Caenorhabditis elegans: one gene and its partner. The protein of the gene in region 1 purifies or fractionates together with the protein of each later gene. This does not show direct contact. Each region holds a gene or a part of one and is shown in the gene's direction. Other genes may lie near its edges.

Region 1 (4,241 bases):
AGCCCACAGGTCTTCGCCGCTGGAACGTGTTCTTCGTAATTCTCAATGTCCCTCATATGCTTCAGTCGCAGTTTTCAGTAGGATTTGTATGTCTGCGTCTCTCTATCACTCCATAGAAGTCTTAAACTGTGCTCTAACTCAAAATATTGAACATTTAAAGGCGCATAGAGTGTTGATTTCTATTTTTGGAAATTTATTCGTGCTAACTGTGAATTACAAGTTTCTGAGAATTCTTGATATTCGCTAAGTTTTTTTCAGTTTTTTATTTGTCATTTTCCAAAAGAAGCCATTTCAGAAAAAAAAAACTACCGTAAGCTTTTTCGCAGCGAGACCCATCCGAATAAATGCGTGCGCCTTTAAATCATGGCTACGATAGCCGAAAAGTTTCGCTCGTGCCAGGACCTAACATCTCTCAAAATTGGCTTTTTTAACGTATTTTTAAAAATTCTATTGTAGCAAGCTATACAGTTTGCTATACAGTTTACAATGGGTTCGATTTTTTTCTAGAAATAATTTTTTTTTCTTACACATAATAAAATCTTAGGCGATAATAGAGATAGGATAATAAAAAAAAGTGATTAGTACAATGAGATTTATGTGTTTTTATCTGCTGTTCGCGAGAGAAAAAAAGTGACGAGAAGCTAATTTAGATACTCGAACAGTGTAAAAGAGAAAGAAAAGTTCGCGAAACTTTGACCTTTCGTGCCAACTAAAATTCCGGTCCGCGCGCTCAAATGGCGCAGTGGTGAACACGGATGGCTCAGGCCCAGAAAGTCAATGGTTCGATTTCTGCAGAGGAGTTTTGACGATTTTCGATCATTATCTCTTCTCCGTTCCTACTTACGTTCCTCAATTTCCACCCATCATTTTTTACTATTCTCTCACTTATTTTCCCTTTCACTCTCACTTTTATTAAGTGTTCATTTTTTGTCTGTACTCATTAAATCACCTGTAGTACAACGAAAATTCGGGGATCCAAATATCGGAACTCGACAGGAAAATCTCTTCGGCTCCCTCGTAGCTCGACGGGTTCCACTTCAAGAATTCGTCTTCCCAGTACTGCAATGATCGTATATTAAAATAGATAGTAGCGCGCAGCCGACGTTTTGCGGGCCACGTCGGATAAGTTCTTGTGTCCTATGCAAACTTTTTCAGTTCCCTCGGTTCCAGTGAGATCTATTTTTGCAGTTTTCTACCGCCACAAACTGCTGTAACATTACATTTGGCCCCCAACCCGCCCCCTCTTAACTTCCTCGATGTGTTGGCCTTCCCTTATCAAGTACTTGTGTCAACTGGTCTTGAACGACCTTCAATATTCTCCTTCCTTTTCGCCAATTTCCATTTTTATTCCCAAATCATCGTTTTCGATGTACCTCATTTTTTGAGTAGCTTATTACGGTCATGCTAATTTGTTGAACCCCTCTGTGTGTGTTGAACCCCTCAACAGCCGAATTTCGGCGGGTCCTGTAGTGGTTATCACGTCTGCTTCATACACAGAAGGTCGCCGGTTCGAACCCGGCCAGGACCTACTTTTTTCGTTTGACATGCTTTTGAGGAAACAGGCGCGTCCTTCAAATGGAATTGTCCACTTGTATATGCGCGTGTGTTTATTCTCACTTTCGTGTGTATTTCTCATTACTATCGGCGTTTGGCATCGTGTCGTTTTGGCATTTGCGCATCTTTTTATTTATTATTGTATTCTCACTTTTCCCCCCTCCCCCCTTTCCCCTCCTTTTTGCTTTATGGATCTAATGACCCCTCAAACATTGCAGACCATGACCAGGATAAACCTAGTTTTATTTTTATCTTCTTTAGCCGTATGTACCTATTCACAGACCATGACAAAAACAAGTAAGTTTCGCATTCTGCGGCACATCAATTCGGAAATTTTCAGTAATCGATTTTTGCTCTCCGTCCGAACCGAATTCGTGTGGTCCCGGCGGAAAGTGCATGGAATTGTCACTAGGAAATCGGTGTGAATGCCCATTTGGACTTATGGGTAGAAGATGTCAAAGTAACCAGTTTTCGCGTCGAGACCCAAAAACCCAATTTTTTAGGACCATGCCAAGATGTCTACAAAAGTTGTGCTCGGTGGAAGTCAGAAGAACGCTGTCACTGGACGCGGCCGATTTCTCCATTTTTCGCTGACAACTGTGCTTTGTCCTGCGGCCAATGCAAAAATAACGGAAAGCGTGAGTTTTGTCATTCCTCACAAAATGTTGTCCACTGACAAAATGTAGGAAATTTTATGCTAAACACTTTATCAGTTGACAACTTTTTGATAGCTCTTTTGGACCCCAAGATATTCTTGTTTTTTCCAGAGCTGGCGCTCGCTCTTCCACCAATTCTCGACAACATTGAGTGGTTTGTGGGCAGATGGGAGTCAAAGACAAGTGCTCATCATAGGTAAATAAGAATAATTTTTGAATAGGTTGGCATATGTTCTATAAACTTTTAGATTTCCGGAGCCAATGTCCGGACCTTACAAGGAAATCTTGGACGTTCAAATTTCGGAAGTTCCCTCTTTTGACAGACCGCCGGTTAATATTTCGTAAGTCAGAAAAATTTTATGTCTATCGTGTGATGTTATTCGATATTTTACTTGTTTTGTTTGTTGTTCAAGGGTTTTGAGCTTTGAGGTTTTGGCATTTTTGATGGGATGTATGCAAATGCGCCCCGATGAATAACAACCTACAACTTGTAGAGTGCGAGCCGAGACGCTTGATGGGACCGATGTCCACGTGGAATTCGGATTTTTGACGTCTAAACCTTTCCACGAGGATACGGGTTTTGTGGAGTTGAACAAACCGGACGAAGGGGACGATTTGGTGTCGATTGAGCTTGTGACTAATACAGGTAACGGTTAATTTTACGCTGCGGAATTGTTCTCGCTAACCCACGGCATAGCGACCCAGGTCTCGGCAAGTGGTCTATGGTCTCAACTTTCTGTCAAGCTTTGTCACCTTTCTAGAACTATGTAACAAAGAGGGGGTATAATGAAACAGAAAGCTAGCGCTACCGCTGTCATTGATTCTAGGGTCGCGGATAAGATGACCAAGCCGATGGGCAATCTAGGTTCCTAAAGGAGCACACTAGGATGTCAGGAGTGTCATTTGCCGGCTAGTGTTATTAGCCGAGAATCCCAAAATTTTCGGCGACACGAGACGCAGACCATTTTCTTCACCACCCACTTGAGCTACAAATTTCTTCAGGTCTAATGCTCATCGAGGAAGGAACTGTGCGCGGTACCCAAATCCGATTGGAAACCAAATATAAGAAGGGAATGGCTGGAGTGTTCCGAGACGAAATTGTCAAGTCAAAGAGAATGTTCAATTTGATAAATGCCAACTCTTTGGAAGAACGGGTTGTGATGGTTGATGGCCGTGGAGTTACAACCAAATGGTTGAAAAGGTTTACCGTATGATCTTGAGAAAGCGCGGCAAATCTAATGACGTCATATTTTTGTAAAATTCTTTTGCCACGTTTTCTGCACATTAAAATACACTTGCTCGAGATCAACCTCAATTTTCCAGGTACAAAAAAGTGTTCAACTACATGACGGATCTTATCCCGACACCCGTTGAGAAAAAGCGAAAGTCCCTGTAAACTCACCAACTCAAAGCTGCCCGACAGACTGATGGTGTTCTTGACGGCGTCCTGAAATGATTTATTGAAACGGGTCTATTTTATTATTGATTTTTTGTTGTTGTAGAAATTCGAAATAAAAACTTACCAGCTTAACGATTTGATACAGGAATACGCTCATCGAAACTGAGATCACCTTTTTCGGATGGGTCACTGGACGTGTGCCTTTTCTGAAAGTTTTGCAGGTGTAAAAATTGATCAGGAAGACATTTTTGTTACGGGGCATGCGACACCGCACGGGTTGCGTAGGATTGCAGTGGAAGTTAAAAACCCGCGAGGTGTCGGCCACGAAGTTCAAAAGTCCCTTATCTAGGTCATCTTTTTTGCAGAAAAACCGTACTGTATATACATAATCAAATTTAGAACTTTGTGCCACACACTCCAGTGCATTCTCTCATTGAAAATCCATTTTCATTACCACTTTCTCCGGACCACGGAACAATTGAATTCGGTGGCGCGCAAGAAACTATTTGCTAAAAAGGAATTGAGAGGGGCTTAATTTAATTTTTCACCAGAAGCCGAACTCTCTTGTCGATGGTTTTTTTAGTGAAGGAGTTCTACTAGAGATAGGAATAGAGTCTATGAAGAGATTTTGA
Region 2 (3,128 bases), on another chromosome or scaffold:
GAAAATAAAATCACCTGAAATCTTCAAAAGTTAAATTGAATCAAAAATTGAGTTTTTATTTTTGGTTATTTTTTTGCTGAGAATTTCGTTGAATATCATGGTAAGGATTTGGATTTTGAAAATTCAAAATGTGTTATCAACCCAAAGATCAGTTCCTGAAAAAAGGAGATGTTTGAAAAACAAACGTTTACAAACAGGAAAAAGGTCATATTAATATCCGATTAAATTTTTGCCTTGAACTTTAAAACTACTTTGGAACTTATAACTAAACTTCCGTCAAATTGAAGATATGAAATGAGATGCTTTCTTGTCGGAATATTCAAAAAATTTGAAAAATATCTAGTGAAACATTTTTTAGAGATTTTTGATAGGGCCGAACAGAGTAAGATGGGTTTTTCATGTTTTTTCATGCATAGTTATGCTGAAGCCAAAGACCTGTGCGGCAATAGATTAAAAATATATTTTCAAAATCATTCCTAAAATTTAACTCTTTCACGGATTTTAAAAATCATTAAATTAATTTATTAACTTTCTGAACTTTATGTGACGTGGCTATTGTAAAGATCTGGGACAAAGATAAGAGAGAAATTTGCTATAAATTGAGCAGAGTTTACCATAATCTTCACTGTAAGTTTCCACACTCTACAAAGAAGTCGCCAGTGCCCAATCCGTCCCACCAGGAGATATCCAGACCCAGCCGGGTACGAAGATCGTCTTCAATGCACCATACGATGACAAGCACACCTACCACATCAAGGTGATCAACTCCTCGGCTCGCCGTATTGGATACGGTATCAAGACCACCAATATGAAGAGACTTGGAGTTGATCCACCATGTGGAGTTTTGGACCCAAAGGAAGCAGTCCTTCTTGCTGTTTCCTGTGATGCCTTCGCCTTTGGACAGTAGGACACTAACAACGACCGTATTACTGTTGAGTGGACCAACACCCCGGATGGAGCTGCAAAGCAATTCCGCCGTGAATGGTTCCAAGGAGACGGTATGGTTCGTCGCAAGAACCTTCCAATTGAGTACAACCCATAGAGCCCTCTTCGACCTTGCTCAATAAATGAATTTTGAAAGCTCGTTGTTTTTTCTCTTGTTAAAAATGTTTAGGTTTAAAAGTGCACCAAATTTGGTGGAGGTAGAGGTCCACTCCCAACCGAGTTCAACCCAAAGAAGGCTTGATAAGAAAACCCTCGAGTACAATCCATAGAGCCCTGCTTGATCTTATTTAATGAATGAATTTTGCAAGTTTCATTCTTTTGCTCTCTTCAAAATTTCAGCTTTTAAAACGTTTTCAAATGGTTTACATTTAACCCACAAGAGGCCGCTTGATATCTCTTCTCTGTTCATTGGCAAAGGCATAATACAATGACTTGAATCCTCTTTGTCTAAACTTGGTATATCCGATTGTGTGTTGGAAACGAGGTGTGGTCGGTTTGTTATGTATGACTTACGACCACTGGACGCAAAAGGTTTTATAATGCTCACCGATTTGCAGCAGCAGGTGCGGCGAGATTTCCTTCAAATTCATGATATGGAAAAATGCATTCCGATTAATTACTTGTATGATTTCGCAAAAAAATATGCTTACAGTAAAGAGCACTTGTATAAACAGAACTCCAATTTTGTTTTGAGGAAAGTTTGAATTTATGTATGTTTTAAAAATTTTCAGTATGGAAAGTTCAACTTTGTTTTTCCGTTGAATTTCTGTTCAATCTGTTCGTTTCAATAATTTTCATTTGAACACGATTAGTCATCGCTGTGCGTCAGCTTTTTTTGTTTCAAATTCCATAATAGAATGTGTTCAAATAGATGCTATAAAACCAAAATTTTGAAGAAAATTCACTGCAAAAACATGAATTATTTATTCGCTTTGGTTCTGTTACCACTTCCTGTTTCAATTTTGGGAAAAAGTAGGAAACATAAAAACATTTTTAATTTAACTATATCTATTAGTTCCAGAATGTTGCCAATTCCCGGCTTATTCATTTTCCGCTATGACAAATGTTACAAAAGAAGACTTTAAATGTTCTGAACCAGTTTCAGTGCTTTGTCAAATTGACACTAATGGGAGTGGATATGTTGCAGTTGGAATTTCTGGAAATTTAACGGAACAGGCAGATACAAAGCCTTTAGTCGTGAGAAAACTTTTTTGAATTTTAAAAATATACTTTTTCGAGATCAAAAAAGGTTCATCTTCAATCTCGGCGTCTCTTGTATGCGACACTTCTTCTCAAATGTGGAAAGTTGATAAGAAATCCGATAAATATGACAATATTGGTTGTATCATGAGATCTACTGGCGGAGTTTGGATTGTTTATTGAGTATTTGGAATAAAATATATTTTTCTTTCAAAAATAGGAAAATGAGTAATAAAATAAATACTAAACTTCACAGTACATTCATTTAAAAAAAAATATTTTTCCCAAGTTTTGACTGAAATTTATGAAGAAAAAACCATTAATTGGAACCGAAATGCATAATGATTGTGTCTGAATACCCTAAAAGATCACATTTAAACATTTTTCAGAATATTTTGAACAACAAAAGTGCACTACAAGTTACTTGCCTTTAAGTTGACCTACGCCTCTAAAATTAGGCGTTTCGGTGCCTAAGCTAAATAAATATTTTACCGATGTATTCAATATATTCACAAACTTTAATTGTCAAGTTTCTCAGAGTAACACAAATTAATTTATTTCCGGACATAGATTTAAAATTTTAACAAATCATTAAAGTCTTGTTGGCAATTTTAGTTCACTCTTTCCATCTGAAAAAGTCACACATTTGTTTTTAAACAATTTATACTTCAAAACTTACAAATACAATTCTCTGGTGATCCTGCCCATTTTCCTGTTTTCAAGCACTTATAGATCTTCACAGGTTGCAGTGCAATTTCAAAAACATAAGATTGCGGGCAAACTTGAGTGATGAGCTCTCCGACAGAATAACTGCTTTTGATTTGTGAAGAAGTTGGACTGGAAGTGTAGGTCAAGTTCAGGGATGGTTCGATGCAAGTGATAGAGGAATTTGTGTTGTTGTAAGAAACTGTGAATGTTGATGGTGATGTTGATGAATCAGAAGATCCAGAAGATGAATTGGTTGGAAGTGTTGAGCCCTGAAA

The links.
Region 2: the proteins of F21A3.3 (region 1) and F59A6.12 fractionate together in Caenorhabditis elegans (co-fractionation; one large-scale study listed by BioGRID). This does not show direct contact.

Annotation. Positions count from the first base shown.
Region 1 is NC_003283.11:15,515,941-15,520,181, forward strand, and holds F21A3.3 (EGF-like domain-containing protein), read left to right. Parts: upstream 1-1,772; 5' UTR 1,773-1,775; coding exon 1,776-1,851; intron 1,852-1,894; coding exon 1,895-2,014; intron 2,015-2,057; coding exon 2,058-2,192; intron 2,193-2,321; coding exon 2,322-2,406; intron 2,407-2,458; coding exon 2,459-2,551; intron 2,552-2,704; coding exon 2,705-2,856; intron 2,857-3,212; coding exon 3,213-3,411; intron 3,412-3,533; coding exon 3,534-3,606; 3' UTR 3,607-3,612; coding exon of another isoform or gene 3,613-3,657; 3' UTR 3,658-3,733; downstream 3,734-4,241. Other genes in the region: lgc-31 (Neur_chan_memb domain-containing protein), read right to left, coding at 950-1,059, 3,613-3,657, 3,734-3,815.
Region 2 is NC_003280.10:5,010,788-5,013,915, reverse strand, and holds F59A6.12 (C6 domain-containing protein), read left to right. Parts: upstream 1-1,837; 5' UTR 1,838-1,859; coding exon 1,860-1,917; intron 1,918-1,966; coding exon 1,967-2,142; intron 2,143-2,184; coding exon 2,185-2,328; 3' UTR 2,329-2,393; downstream 2,394-3,128. Other genes in the region: F59A6.3 (Sushi domain-containing protein), read right to left, coding at 2,737-2,774, 2,825-3,122.